Nothobranchius furzeri: one gene and its partner. Each later gene encodes a partner of the first gene's protein in a complex. Links are inferred from orthologs where the notes say so. Each region holds a gene or a part of one and is shown in the gene's direction. Other genes may lie near its edges.

Region 1 (8,190 bases):
AATGGATGTTAGTGAAATTAGAGTGAACAGATGAGCTCGGTGGCTTTATTGGGACTTTTACTGTTGAGTAGATTTAAACAAACCTGGGCAGTACCAGTCAGGTCCAATTCTGTTCTTCTGATCTCCACTTGCAGCTGCAGCGCTAAACGTTCTGCTGGCATGTCGAGCATCCTGGGTCGTATTGGAGGAAAGAAGCAGAAAATGAGCACTTTGGAAAAATCAAAGATGGACTGGGATGCTTTTAAATATGAAGAGGGCATCACAGATGAGCTGGCGATCCACAACAGAGGCAAAGAGGGGTGAGATACTGTTCTGTCTGCTCCTGGTTAGCATCAAAAACAGTACAGCTCCCCCACCCTCCCCTGTGTGTCCTGGGTCGACCCCAGGGTCTTCTGTTGAACCACATGCCCAGATCAGCTTGTGTAATCTTATCAGGTTAGTTACTGGTTACTGTTTGTGACTAACGGTCTGTGTGTGTGTGTGTTTGGGGGGTCAGGTACGTGGAGCGGAAGAACTTCCTGGAGCGTGTTGACCATCGTCAGTTTGAGCGGGAAAAGGCAGTGAGGCTGAGCAACATGAAGCGATGACGCTGATCAAAGAAGGACTCACAAACTCACGTACAGCTGGAGGCTGCAGCGGTACGGTTGGTGTTCGTCAGAACTCCAGCTGGACCTGGGGCTTTGATCCGGAGCTCAGCGGTTCGGTGAGATGAGTTGGCACCCAGCGACTGGAATAACTCAGCACCCTCTCCTTGTGACCTGTTCCATTCAGCTGCTGTGTCTGGGTTAGGGTCACAGCCTTCGTCCCACTGTTCCACCCCGTTACCATGTTGTACGTGTGCAGTTAAACTCGTCCATGTTTGGGTTGTTTTTATTCTGTCATCATGCAGGGAAGCTTACGCTGAAGTCCCAGCAGCTGCTGGTGAGAACTTCTAAACGAGGGAGTTTCCTAAGTGTTTACGGGGTTCTAGGTTCCCTTGTGCCAGTCACACGGTTCCCTTGTGTGGATAGAGTTTAGAACGTTTTATTTAGAAAGTGTTTTGTGATATTTTCTCACCAAATCCTAACCCTAACCCTATCCCCAGCAGAGCAGCAGTTGAAACCGTCTCACATCTGTGGACACAGGAAGCGTGAGAAAGGGTCGGGCTGTGGATTTTGGTTCCCTGGTGCCTCTTTTTGCTACTTTTGGTGTTTTTAATTTAATACATGCTTAAATTACTTCATTGAATAATGATGGAGTCACAAATGTGCTGCGTCCTTCAGAATGTTCCAGATTCAGAAAAAACCTGGCCTCTTATTTGTTTCTATTAAATGATTCAAACATGCTGATAGACTCCATCCATCCATTTTTCTTCCGCTTATCTGGAGTCGAGTCGCGGGGGCCGCAGCCTACGTCGAGAGGCCCAGACTTCCCTCTCCCCAGCCACTTGGGCCAGCTCTTCCGGGGAATCCCAAGGCGTTCCCTGGTCAGGTGAGAGACATAGTCCCTCCAGCATGCCCTGGGTCTACCTTTAGGTCTCCTCCCGGTTGGACGTTCCTGGAAAACCTCACCAGGGAGGCGTCCAGGAGGCATCCTGACCAGATGCCTGAGCCATCGCAGCTGGCTCCTCTCCACCCTCCCGGATGACTGAGCTTCTCACCCTATCTCTAAGGGAGATCCCAGCCATTCTGCAGAGAAAACTCGTTTCAGCCGCTCGTATCCGTGATCTCGTTCTTCGGTCACTGCCCAAATGTGACAAGGTGGAGAAACGAGGGTCACGGGGGGGATTCGATCCCCAGACTCCTGGGTGAGAGTCACGTGCACTTACCAGTCAGCCAGAGGGATGTCCCCTTGGCCAAGTAGCCAGGGCGCATGATCAGTTGGGACACTGACAGGACGCTCACACTGCCACACAAAGCTTGTGACCACAGGTGAGGGTAGGAATGTAGATGGACCAGTAAATCGAGAGCTTTGCCTTCTCTCTTCACCACGACAGACCGGTACAACGCCTGCATCACTGCAGATGCAGCACCAATCCACCTATCCATCTCACGCTCCAGCTTTCCCTCACTCGTGAACAAGACCCAAACATACTTAAACTTCCACTTGGAGCAGGACCTCATCCCTGACCCGGAGAAGGCATTCTACCCGTTTCCGAATCAAGACTGGAAACCTAATCACTTTAAACATGACTTGGTGTGTTCCATCAACAGGTTCAATAAAGTAATGAAAGACATTGATATTTCACTTAAGGGATCTTTATACATTCTTCGTATACAAAACCATCTTTAATAAATTCGGGAGGTGGATTTGTGGGCAAGAACTTTAACGATACATTTTTAATGACGTACTTTATCAGGTCACAGTTACACGTGTTTCCAATGATGTGGTCAGACCAACTGTGTAGGTTAAAGTTCAGAGTTCACCAGTGGCTCATCTGTCCAGAGAGGCAGATGAGGAAGAGTCCATGTGATTGGTGATGGCCTAGAAGGAAGGGGAGGAGGATTCTCCATTATGTCGTTCATGGGACATCAGGACAGAGGTCATCCCAGTCTGAGCAGATGGTCTGTGGGCAGCATCATCAGGGAGAAGAGCACAGGTAAGTTTTTCTCGCTGTATAGCATGTATCATACTAACTGTAAGTGATGTAACCGCCATCAATGTGTTTGGTCCCTTTTCTACAGTTGAAAGACGACCAAATGATGTTGGAAGGACTTGTCTTTTCTCCCAACAAGAGGCATCGTTGTTGACACCATCGTTCAAAATAATGAAATCCAGCAGAGAGATTAAAGATGGAGCCAACTTTGATGGAAGAAGAAAGTTTGTATCGAGCTTTTCTAGATAAAAACTACAAGGCACTTCACAAGAAAATAAAATAAATGAAAAAAAATTAAATATATATTGTTATATAATAAAAATGGGAGAAATGGGAAACAGTTCAGAAAAATGTGAATAAAAAAGAAAATGTCATCACAGGAACATGAAAAAGAACTGACAAACACCAGCATGAAGAGAAACTAGTGAAGATTCAGCAGAAGGTGACATTAAAACCAGCCTGGACAGGTGAGTTTTCAGCTGCTTTTTAAAGGAGACCACTGAGTCCACTGATCTCAGGGGGAGAGAGGTCCAGAGTCTGGGGGCCGCAGCAGCAAATGATCTGTCACCTTTGGTCTTTAGCCTGGTGCTGCACAACCAGTAGGCTTTGATCACTGGACCTCAGGGACCTGCTGGGGGTGTAGGGACTAAGAAGATCACCAATGTAAGATGGTGCTTGTCCATGTAAGGCCCTATAGACCAGAACCAGGATCTTGAAATGAACCCTGAAGTTGACTGGCAGCCAGTGAAGCTGGAGGAGAAGCAGGGAGATGGGGGTGTGTTTGGAGGACTTGGTCAGAAGCCGAGCACAGGCATTCTGAACCACCTGTAGACGGTTCAGGGAGGTTCTGCTCAGACACGTGAAAAGAGAGTTACAGTAGTCTAAGCGTGAGGAGATGAAGGTGTGGAGAAGTCTCAAGTTCAGAATGGGACTCAGCTTAGCAATGTTCCTGAGATGGAAGAAGAAGAGCGAAAAAGAGAACTGGCATGAGAATCCAGGGTGAGAACTGGGTCAAAGGTCATGCCAAGATTCCTGACAGAGAGTTTGGTGTGAGAAGCAAGCTGACCAAGAGAGTCTCTGACTTTGGGAACCAGCTTGTTTGGGGCACAGATGAGGATCTCAGTCTTATCTTCATTCAGCTGTAGAAAGCTCCCAGCCATCCAGGTTTTGATAGAGTCTAAGCAGGTGTGTAACAGCTGCAGCTTAGACATCTCATGGGGCTTAAAGGAGATGTACAGTTGGATGTCATCTGCGTAAAGATGGTAGGAGACTCCTTTGAAGGAGCTCAGGATGTGCTGAAAAAGAAGCAGACAGAGGATAATTGGAAGGAGGAAATCATAAAAGCAGCAGGAATGAAGGAATGCAAGAGACTGTTTACTGGTTTTGCTGGGAGCACTGGTGTTTATAAAGTCCAACATCTGCTGGGAGGATGGACCTAGGATGCAGCAGTTTGGCACTGAAGGAGCTTCCAGCTCCACACCAGCTTCATGCATGGGATGGAGGACACTGTCCAACAGTGATGTTATTTTCACTAGAGTCCTCTCTCCCACCCCCAGCTGGGTCAAGGGGACATGCTAGGACAGAACTTCTTAATCAGCTTCCCGTCTCTCAGTAGCCCCAAACCACACAAAGATGGTGGATGGGAGGGGGGCTCGGGCCCTTTAAGCGGACAGGATCCAGCCTGTGGTGGGCGGACGGTAGCAGCCAGCTGTGCTCCACCCGCTCCGCTCGGCCTCCAGCCGCAGCTGCTTCATGCTCCAGCTGTTATAGCCGCGCGTCCGTGGGGGGTGAGTCCGAGGCAGAGTGACTTGAGGGAGGACCGAGAACCGTCAAGTCTGCGGGTCATACGGACGATCGCATTACCGCTGCTGCAGATCTGCGCCTCTGAGGCGCATTTTTACGCAGCAGTCCAGCTGGACTGAGACAAATCCCGACCTCTTCCTCCCGCTGGGAGCTTTCCTTTCCTACCAGGAGTCTTTTCCATGGAATCCACGAACGGCTGACGCCAGCGCAGCTGTGCATAAAACCCGCTAGAGACGCAACTGGCAGGAAAAGGCGCAATAGGACAGCTGCAGCAAAATGTCTATCCCTGTAAGTATGTCAGACGCATGTTGGTGTTCCCAGTCGTTGCTCCGGTGTTCCATGTTAATGGTTGTAACAGCCTGGGCCCGGGCCGCCCGGTTCCATAGCACTACAGTAATTAAGATGTTATCATGTGAGCCCACACATATTACTGTAACACGGTGTGTGATATGTGCTGGTGGTGACATGTTACTCTTTGTCTTTGGCCTACATGAAGCTCCAGCGGGTTTAAAGGAGCAGCCCGCCCCTTCCGGGAGGCTGTTTGCATGAAGGCCAATGTCAGCCAGGGTCTGGTGGCTTCATTCCAGCAGACCTGGCCAGTCAGCTCAGCAGAGCAGCTGATAGCACTGTGTGTGTGTGTGCAGGTGTGCGTGCGTGTGTGTGTGTTTGTGTGTGTGTGCAGGTGTGCGTGTGTGTGGAATAAGGCATTTGCTCGAGCTTGTTGAGTTATTTTCCATCAAATTCCAAAGGATCTGTTTCACAAACACTGCCTAAGGATCTCTCTCTCCCTCTCTCTCTCTCTCTCTCTCTCTCTCTCCTCTCTAACTGAACTGATGCTTCATTTTGTTGGGGACGACAAAATCCTACTGGCACTTTAATATAAAGTTATTAGACGATCTTACCTTTTGCAACATTTTTAAGCTGTTCTGGGAGGCTTTGCGGTCCAAAAGAATGATTTTAAGACCATCAGTGAATGGTGGGAACAAGGGAAGGCACAAATTAGAGTTTTCTGTCAACATTACACGCGGGGGTCTACAAACCAAATAAGAAAGACTATGGCAGATCTAGAGAAGGACATCAGGGTGCTAGACTACTACTCAACAACAGCACACCTTAGACCAAAAAAAGACAGCAGCTTGGGCATTTCCTGCAAGAGAGGGCCAAAGGCGCCTTGATCTGGGCTCGTCTCACCACAATACAGGACATGGATGCTCTGACATCCTTCTTTTTTAACCTGGAAAAGACTTCAAACCAGAAAAAACAAATGGCTGGCCTGCGTCTGTCAGATGGACAGTTATCCACAGACCCAGTGGAGATGAGGAAGCATGCAGTAGAATTCTATACCAGCCTATTTAAGGCCGCCCCATGTGATGTGAACTGTGCCAGAGAGCTGTTGCAGGGGCTTCCTTCCTTGACCACAGTAGACCAGGGAATCTTAAATGCAGACATAACCATGGAGGAACTTACAACGGCAGTCTCCCAGATGGCTGCAGGTAAATCTGCGGGGATGAACAGCTTACCCGCTGACTTCTACAAATTCTTCTGGAGCAGTATTGGACAGGACCTGATGGATGTTTTTAGAGACTCACTTCAGACAGGAGCACTTCCTGCATCGTGTAGTTGGGGCGTTCTGTCCCTGCTGCCGAAAAAAGGGGACTTAACCCAACTAAAAACCTGGGGACCAGTTTCCTTGTTGTGTTCAGACTATAAGATTTTTTCTAAGTTCCTATCTAATAGACTTCGGGGATTCATCAGAGGTCTAATCCCAGACGATCAGTCCTTCTGTATACCAGGAAAGTCATTAATGGACAATTTATTTTTAATGAGAGATGTGTTTGATGTTTGTAAAATGTATGATGTAAACGCAGGTATCATTTCTATTGATCAGGAAAAGGCGTTTGATAGGGTTGATCATGAGATCCTGTTCTCTACGCTACAGGCCTTTGGTGTTGGGGGGTCCTTCCTGGAAGGGATTAAGATGCTGTCATGTCATGTCAGCTGTATGGTGAAGGTAGCGGGGGGCCTGAGCCAACCCACCAGTTCTAAGAGGAATCAGACAGGTTGTCCCATCTCAGGACAACTGTATATTTTAGCCATTGAACAGCTGCTGTGTCGGCTGAGGAACAGGCTGAAAGGTGTACACCTACCTTTACCTGACTCCAGTCCTCCCTTAGTTGTGTCTGCTTATGCAGATGATGTGAATGTTTTCATCCATGATCAGCAGGATGTACAAGAACTCAGATCTAGTTTACGTTTACATGAGAAAGCATCCTCAGCTAAGGTTAACTGGGACAAGAGTGAGGCATGTGTAGTGGGGGGTGGGACCTTGGTGATGTCCCGCCTCTGCCAGAAGGGTTGAGGTGGGGAACGGGAGGTATTAAAACACTAGGCATGTACTTGGGTAGGGAAAGGTTTCAGAAACAGAACTGGGAGAAGGTGCTGGAGAAGGTGGAGGCGCGGTTGTCTAAATGGAAATGGCTGCTCCCTCAGCTGTCCTACAGGGGCAGGGTTCTGATAGCAAACAACCTCGTCGCCTCGTTTCTGTGGCAGAGACTGATTGTACTGGTTCCACCACCCCGTCTGCTGGAAGGTGTTCAGAAGCTGTTGGTGAAATTCTTCTGGTCTGGTCACCACTGGATCAGAGCTTCGGCTCTTTGCCTACCCGTGTCAGAGGGAGGACAAGGACTAATAGACGTGGTGTCTAGAACTGCAGCCTTCAGGTTACAGACAGCTCAGAAGCTTTGTTATGGTGACGGACTCCGCTGGCTCCCCCTGGCTCATCTCCTGCTGCAGAAGGTTGGTGGGCTTGGGCTGAACAAACACCTGTTCCTGTTGAATCGGAAGGTGTTGGATCTGACAAGGATTAGTCCGTTCTACTCATCAGTGCTGGACACCTTTAAGCTGCTGGCGGTTTCCCGAGCACCTGACACGGGACCAGGGACATGGTTGCTACAAGAACCCTTGTTTGACAATGACTTCTTCTCTCAAGCTGGCATTTTAACTTCGTCTTCGTTGAAAGTGAAGTTCACCGATGCTGGGATTGTAAAGTTTGGCCACTTACTGAAGATCCCGGCTGGAACCCTTGGTGAGCGGGTTGATGTGAGGTCCACCAGAGTGATGGAGAGAGTGGTGGAGGAGGTACGGAGGTCCTTGTCTGTGTCGCAGAGAGCCTTCGTTGAGACTTGTACTCTATCTGACCAATGGGATGATGACAGTGAGTACGTTTTTCCATCTCTGGAGGTTAAAGCAGCTGGTGAGGGATGGCAGGAGGAGAGTGGATTACTGCTGAACCTGAACTCTCCAGTGTTGGGCTCCTTCCAGTCTTGTGGGAAGAAACAGATCTATCACACTTGTGTGAAGGTTATCAATAGGCGCTCCTTGTTAGGAGTCAAGGAGTTGAGGTGGACTCAGGTGTTTGCTGCGGACCGTGCCCCTGGGGGCAGCTGGAGGACTTTGTATAAGTCTCCAGTGGAAAAAAGGGATGGCAGACCTCCAGTGGAGGATCATACATGGAGCTTTAGCTACGAACAGACACAGAGCCCACTTTGATCCAAGCACCGGGGAGGGATGTCCTTTTTGTAACCAAACAGAGACCCTAGAGCATCTAGTGGTAGCATGTTCTAGGTTATCAGGGATGTTCAGGGTTTTAGAACGGTGGGTTAGTGCACTGGGGGAGGCTTTTACCCTTCCGTTATTTGTTTTCGGGCCCAAGTACAGTGTCAGAAAAAACGGACAAAATTGTTAATTAACTTTTTATTTGCATGTGCAAAACTAGCCATCTGGAAAACCAGGAAAAACCAGATGCTGGGACA
Region 2 (7,665 bases), on another chromosome or scaffold:
ACACACACACGCACGCACACACACACACACACACCAAGCCAGTGATTTTCAGGGTTTTAAATCATTTATCTTTTATCTGTCAGTGTGCCCCAGGGCAGCTGTGGCTACATTGCAGCTCATCACCATCAGGGTGTGTGAATGGATGAATGATGCACTGTAGTGTAAAGTGCTTTGGAGTCCTCTGACCCTGAAAGGCACGGCAAGTGTGAGTCATTTATCGTTTATTTTGTTGGTCTAAAGCTGAAACATTTGGGAACTGTAGGTGATCAGCTGGAGGATGGAGCCTCTCTCAGGTGGTCTTTCAAATATTTTCTGATTGTATTCCAACTTTATCCTATAAAAGACACAACTTTACAATCCATTTGCTAAAGTTGGGTTTTAAGTCGTCACACTTTCGGTCTTCTAGTTGTCCACTTCTCTCACATTTAAACTCAAACTGATTTGTGATGTCACTGCTGGTTACAAAGACAGAAAAATGAGAGAAAAAGCAGCAAAAGTTTAAAGAAAATCTTCAGAAAGTCTGGGGATCAATAACTTTTTTTTAACAATTTAGAGCTGTCTTACTGCACTGGCATAAGGAACACACTTCAACCAGACCAGAATGTGTGAGATTATGCATGAAACAAAAATGTTAATTAGAGTTGAATAAAATAATCAAACGTCTGCAGAGAATAGAGCTTCATTCACTAAAACTGGACAACTATGAATTGGAAAATTACTCAGATGAATTATTCAGCAGGCAGAAGTTCCAGCAAATGGTTTTACTATTAGGTAAGTAAGCACTGAACACTGTGGGATGAATTATTTAGGGAATGCATTCATTAAACTGCTGGATTGTTAATTCAGAGAGTCTGAGGCCTAGTCCACACGTAGCCGGGATTTTAAAAAAATGAATATCCGCCCCTCCAAAAACTTGCATCCACACCACCTCGTTTAAAAAAAAACTCTGTCCACACGTACCCGGATAAATACGTTGTTAAGGACATGCCAGACCTGTAGGCGGCAGTACTTCCCCCGTTCTTAACCTCGTCCTTCGTCTGTGGTCTTCCGCAAGGAGCAGTAATTCCGCTTGCAAAAACAAACAAGCAAAAAGCGCTTGGACAATTGATAAAGCGAGCGCAGCTCTGAGGGCATCCATGCTGTCGGCTAGTGTAAACACAGGTCACACATCTGATGTCAGCATTTTTTGTCGCGGAAAGTGACGTTGTGGACCTTAAAACTCCGGTTTTGTCTGTCCACACGCAGACACCCAAAACGGAGAAAACGCAGATCTTCACTTTGGCCGGAGTTTTTAAAAAGATCAGTTTTCGTGTGAAAAAACTCCGTTTTTGTGTGGATGACAGGCCAAAACGTAGAAAAATATCTACGTTTTGGCAGAACCCCGTCTACGCGTGGACAGGGCCTGAAGCTCTGGGCTGGAGATGTCCAGTCAGATGGACATGATCTCCACCTCTCTGTGGTGCATCTCTCCTCTCTGCTTCTACTTTCATAAGGCTTAGACAGCTCTCCTTTAAGATGTCATATGCAATTATTATACCCCCCCAGCAAACTATGAGTTTGAAATTACACTTTTTGTCGCAACAAATTGACTTTCTCCTCCTCTTTAAGGCTTCAAATGGTTAGACAGCATCACCAGCATTTCCTTTCGCCGCTCCAGCAACAAATCTGACTCGAAGGCCTCCAAATCCAAATCAGGCTCAGGATGTGAGGCTGGGAAGGAGGGCGGATGTGAGGCAAACCTGACTTCAGTCACTGAGACAACACTGGACGACACTGACGCCATGCGTCCTCGCACTGCCAGCCACGTCCGTTCCAGTAAGGGCTACACACACATGGGGACGCTGCCTCGACTGCTTATGAAGAGGAAAGACAAGAGTAAGAAAGGTAGCAAAGCAGACAGTTTAACTGAGATTTGGGAAAATTATTGTTGATATTTTTTAGAAGCTGTCTCTGTCTGTCCCTGTCTCATTCTTGTCCCAGGATGCCCCAGCGGCAGTAAACAGAGTAACAAGAAGACCAATGATAGCAAAGGTCACTTCAAGGCTCCTGCAGGTGTCTTGTCTGATCCATCTGAGACTAAAGCAGTAGTCACACCTGACACAGAGCTCAACCAGACCCCTCCAGCTGATCCTGAGATCCGGTCTGAACCTGATGACGAGCTCACAAACCACCACATCCTCACTGCTGGTGGAGAGGTGCCATCTGGTGGCTCAAATAGAGAAATTCAGTCAGGCGGAGAAGAAGAGTTGAGGCCAGGATTCGCTTCTCTCAGGAAGGTGGAAGGGGAAGTGGAGAGTGATGGGGTAGAGTCCAAAACTGTGTCTGAACCGGAACAGGAAGCAGGGAAAGAAGAGCCGAACGACAGAAAAGGAAACTCTCATGGTGTCTACTGGTGAGTTTTGGTGTTTGATTTTACATACTCCTTCACATACGGTCTCAATCCACCCCTTCTCAGTCATCTATACAAACATCAACAGAACCGTAAATCACAATGCTCCTCTTCAGTACATCTTTTTGTAATATCAGGCATCTAGTTCCTTAAAAATATTTGAAACAAAAAAATGTATGAAGAGTTTTGTGATTATATGCTTCTTTGTCTTTGATTTAATCATTTCATTTGATAAACCAGAATCTACACATTTTATTTCGTATTTAAAATCCAGAAGTTCCAAGGTTGCAGCTTTGTGAAGATAAATTAAATCAGTTACATTTTATTTGGACTGAAAACAATTTTCAAAATGATCAGAATTAAAACAGAACTCCACTGAAGAAAGACTACAGAGCTTTTTCTGAAACATAAAAAATAAACATCAAATATGTTTGTGCAACAAAGAGACAGATGTATTAGATGTCTTCAGATGCAGAGTCTCCACTGGATGTTATGATTCGCTCTGTGGTATTAGATTGGGGTTCTGATCAAGTTTTTTTTTTCATTGACCTGTGCTGGATAAGTATCATGATTCTGTTCTCCTGATTTCTATTGTTGACCTGCTTTCTAAGGTTTCACATCAGCCACACTGTAAGATAACTTTCAGGTACTGTATTTTCCGGACTATAAACCGCTACTTTTTTCCCACGCTTTGAACCATGCGGTTTATAATGAGTTGCGGCTTTAGTCAACCAGAAAGGATGGATGCTGGAAAGTCTAATGAAGGAATGGTTAAAGGAGTGTTACGGAAAGCGCCCAGGAGGATTTTTTCACAGTAAAACGACGCTGCTTGTTTTCCCAGCTTCACCCCGGGATGATGACCGCAACACGGACATCGCCACAGAAAAGGCTGTTCAACTCCGACACCGAAGAAAATGACTTCAGTGGTTTCAGTGCGCAGGAGGATGATGAATAAACTAATCAATAACTTTTCTGTTATGTTTGATACTGATCAGTTCAGTTATGTTCAGTTAAACTACCTTTTCAATTCAGTAGATATCTGCGGCTTTTAGCCCGGTACGGCTTATATTGTGGTGCGCTAAATAGTCCGGAAATTACGGTACTTCAGAATAAAAAAAAAGAAATACAAATTATCATAAGTCTCTGGGTTAGTTTTACTTTTATTCCACTTGATCATGGAGAAAATACTGTTTTAACATGAGTAAGATGTCAACTTGTCAGTTAAGACTGGTCAGAACACTGCAGAGATGCCCTCAGATGCTGTAGAAGTCATAAACACTGTTCCAAACGTTGTTTATAAACACAGTCCGCTTTTTTGTGTCACTCCTGTTTGCACACAAAACAGAAAACCAAACTATTGTCCTAATAGACTGACTTTTTAAATGCATGTAAACGCGTTAATTCTCACTGAATGCCACTTGGTTCTAATCTTGCTGAACCACTCAGGTAATGTGGAAGGAAACCAACTTCATCTGCATGTAAACAGCTCAGTCGAGGGGATACCGGTAACAGTAAAGTGAGCTGGGCTGCAGCTTTGTTGGTGTCCATTCCTCCTTGTTGTGCATATCCTGTTTTAACTTTGTCTGCTTCACTTTGTCAGTGTTTGTTTACGTTTTGTGTTGCTATAAGCTAACTGGAGGAGTGTCAACACAAAAGGATGCACGTCGCCACCTAACGTACCTGAAGGAAACAAACTTCATTTGAGAGTTTGGTTTTATAACGTACATGTAAACTAGAATAGAAAATCCCAGTTTATTATCTTGGATTGACCCAGATCGATTTAGATGTGCACGTAAATGCAGTTTAGAGTGTTTAATAAAGAGACAGTTCAGCTAAAAGCTCCAAAAACACTGATTGTTGTCTCCTAGTGTCTCCCTACACTGTGATCCTCAGGGGAGGATTAGGTGTACAGGCAGGGGCGTAGCACCAAATTCTGGGCCCTAGGTACAAGCCTTCTAGGTGGGCCCCCATGCTCAATTAATATCTCTCTTACACATTTTTTGTCATGCTATAAGACAAGATAATAAATATGATCTTAGTTTAACCTCTATATTGAGCAAATAAAAGTGAAATGCCCAGACTTCACATATAATTATTTTTATTTGCCAACAATGTGTTCAAACAAAAATCCTGGAATTTATTTTCCAGTAAATGCCCACTGACGGGTCTTCATGTTAGCAAAATCACTTATGAGATCTTTAAAGTCCAATTCTTTGGCTAATTGGCTTTCAATAGAAAGAAGAGCTAGGCTGTTCAGTCTATCCTGGGACATTGTTGATCTCAAATAATTTTTCACCAGTTTCAGTTTGCTAAAAGCCCGTTCACCCCCAGCAACAGTCACAGGTAGTGTGCAAAATATCCTCAGTCCAATACAAACTTCTCCAAAAATGCTCTGTAATTGCATCCTGTAGATGGCATTAAGCAGCACAAGAGGAGACTGAATATGTGGAAATGTGGCACCATATATTGTTCTCAGGTGTAGCATCTCATTCTCAAATTCAGCTGTGAGATCCTTGTAATGTTTTCTCATCAGTGCCTGGCATGATATCTTCATCTGCTCTTCAGTCATGTCTGTCATGGTTCATGATGTTAAGCTTTGCTAATACTGATATATATTGATATATTAAATACATATAACATGAAATAAACCAGGTTCTCTCTGTGAATGTAATGTACTCTAAATTTTATAATCCCTGCATTATCAGCCAAATTATAAGATTGTCCGTTTTCAATATCAAATATAAAGAAATTTAAAATAGGCTTAAAATATCTAACCAAGTCAATAACAATCGTCTAACACCAGTGTCATCATGCTATACAAAAAACAGTGGCAGCTTCACATTCCTGAGATTACCACGAATCCATCGATACCAAGTTTGTCCTGGTCCATGACTGGGAAGGAGCTGAAATATCCACACAGAGTGAACCTGTTTTTACTGCGAGGTCCGCGAATTAATTGGCGGCGGCCGCGTGTTTTCACTGATAACGCTAGTTAATTTATATTTGATCTTGATGGTGAAACTAAAGGCGTTTAACACTGAACACCTAACATGAATGCAGCTTGTGAGAGCTAGCTAATATCAGCTAAAACTGTGTTCTGCTGCTGCTGGCTGCTACTCACCGTCCTTCTTGAAAAACCTAGTCAATACTTGCTTCTGTTCAATTAACTTCTTCTCCTTCTTTTCTTTTCTTTTCTTTTCTTTTCTTTTCTTTTCTTTTCTTTTCTGGAAGCCAGATTTCCCTTTCTTGGGAAAAGACATGACTGACTCTCCTGCCTCCAGCTCTGGCTGTCGGCATCTGCGATGTCTCATTAGCTGTACATGCGGCCGTGCAGCCCCTGGCCGCTGGTGTGGACTAAACCACTTTGCACATTTTTAAGGGGTGATAGATGCCTCAGAGATTATTCAGTTATTATTTTTAAGGCAAAATTCTGTTTCTTAACCTCTTTATCCAGGTAAAGGGAAGTTTATTAAGACATTAAGTTGGGGGAAAAAACATCAACAATAAAACATTTTTATTCAAAGCTGTCTCAGGGCCCCTCCCTGCAGTGGGCCCTGGGTAAACGGTATCCGGTATTTGTACCCAAGTGGACAAAATCACCCTTGAGCTAGCATCATGAACCTCTGCCGCTCCAGCTAGCATAGCTCCGTTGCTCTCATCGTGAACGTCTTGCTTTTCTATAGCCTGCTGTTGGGTCCAGCAGCAGATTTAAAATATCCTGACAATTTTGGGATTTTCTGCTGAATATTTTTGTGCTTTTGTTCTTTGATTCTATACATTTTTCTTTTCTGAGTGCCGCTCTCATATTTCCTTTCTGACGTTTTTTTCATTTTCCCTCGTTAAGTGCAACAGCGTATGATACATGAATATGACGTGTTACGTGACACATTACTTAACTCAAGACCGCCACAATGTTTACCCAATCAGTGTCGCTTATGATTCTGTCAGCCAATACAGTTGAAGAATATTCTTGCATGTAAATTTAAATAAAATCATATATTTTTAGCTGGCTAATGGGGGCCCCAGAACACACGTGGGCCCCTGGGCTTAAGCCATATCAAGCCTGTGCATTAATCCAGGCCTGGTGATCCTGTACAGAAACTCACTGATTTTAATAACTTTAATGTACTTAAAGGATGCCGTCTGCAGAAAACAAATGAACCCATTGCTATGTTTCATGTCATAATGTTGCTCTGACTGAAGATGGCCAAAAGAAAGTTAACACGCTGGTAAAAGAGATACACCATACCAGCGTGGCTAATCTGAGCACGGGTTATAATCTGTAAAAAATGTAAAGTGAGTTCATGCTGACTTCCCTGTGAAAAGATCTGAGACGATGAGTGCAAAGTGAGAAGATAACTGCGTTCATTCTTCCACTTTTTAAGGCAGCGAGCAACATTGATTTCTTCTATTGATCAATGCTGCTGGAGAGATGCTGGCTGGTCGCTGGTTGGATGATTTCTCATTTAGCATCGATTTATTCTTGCGTGCTAAAGACCAGGGGAAATTAGCTCTCCGTGCTCTCATTGTGAGTGTTTCTTATTTGAGCAGCTGACTTATTAATAACATTAAAAGTTGGGGAGTTTAGGAGAGCGATGTAACCTCTGAGTGCCCCCCCCCCCCCCTTTTTTTTTGTTGAAGCAGAGTGTATTTGTCAGGTTTCCTGTGGCATGCCAAAGACTCTGAGATCTCAGATACATTTCTTCAGACTGCACCTATTATGTTTTATGCACATGAACTGTGTATGGGTGTGCACGTGTAAACGCAGGTTTGTTGGCATGTAAAGCCTTCCATGCATGAGTTTGAAGTATCAACCCATCAGTTTGGCTCAGAGATCGTGGGAAATAAAGCTCTGCATTGCATGTTGTATAGGGTTGCATCAAAGCACTCTCCCTCCTCTGTCAGTCCAACCCTAAATCATCCCTTCTGTCCATCTCTCAGTTCTCCTCACAGAGAAACTGCCTCAGTTGCTCTGGAAAACCCGTCCAAATGCTTGTCAAACATGATGCTATTTGTGGCTGGTGAAGTTTATTTCTTTTAATTTCCAATAAAACCCATAAAAACAAAACTCACATGTGTGTGTGCCAGATTTAGAAAATCGGAAAACATGTTTAAAAAAATGTAAATTTGGCTAAAAAATGACTGTAATAGTTTACAGTACTTGTGATATCCAAGTCAGCTCAACAAAATAAAAAGATTCAAAACCTGTTATGGTCAGAAGGTAAATACAAAGTGTGTGCAGTAAAATATGAGTACTATACTTTAAACTTCAAAAA

The links.
Region 2: the proteins of bcar1 (region 1) and sh2d3ca are in contact, whole or in part, in a crystal structure (PDB 3T6G), measured with the Homo sapiens proteins. The link is inferred for Nothobranchius furzeri from reciprocal best matches to the Homo sapiens genes BCAR1 and SH2D3C. Residues at the interface, in NP_055382.2 of Homo sapiens: Ser739, Gln742, Phe746, Tyr747, Gln750, Asn754, Val779, Ser782, Lys783, Ile786, Leu787, His790, Val793, Phe794, Ile795, Asp797, Thr798, Arg801, Gln802, Ser816, Asn817, Cys820, Leu823, Arg824, Val827, Lys831; in NP_733745.1 of Homo sapiens: Thr543, Val544, Pro545, Val547, Gly616, Val617, Arg618, Glu622, Thr625, Leu626, Pro627, His628, Leu749, Leu752, Leu753, His771, Gly772, Val773, Glu774, Val776, Leu777, Leu780, Glu781, Ala783, Arg784, Ala787, His788.

What each region holds. Positions count from the first base shown.
Region 1 is NC_091754.1:40,231,540-40,239,729, forward strand, and holds the start of bcar1 (breast cancer anti-estrogen resistance protein 1), read left to right. Parts: upstream 1-4,052; 5' UTR 4,053-4,654; coding exon 4,655-4,666; intron 4,667-8,190. Other genes in the region: cfdp1 (craniofacial development protein 1), read left to right, coding at 135-299, 497-587. UniProt on the Homo sapiens protein: Docking protein which plays a central coordinating role for tyrosine kinase-based signaling related to cell adhesion. Implicated in induction of cell migration and cell branching. Involved in the BCAR3-mediated inhibition of TGFB signaling.
Region 2 is NC_091746.1:49,559,036-49,566,700, reverse strand, and holds part of sh2d3ca (SH2 domain-containing protein 3C), read left to right. Parts: intron 1-1,608; coding exon 1,609-1,884; intron 1,885-1,980; coding exon 1,981-2,392; intron 2,393-7,665. UniProt on the Homo sapiens protein: Acts as an adapter protein that mediates cell signaling pathways involved in cellular functions such as cell adhesion and migration, tissue organization, and the regulation of the immune response.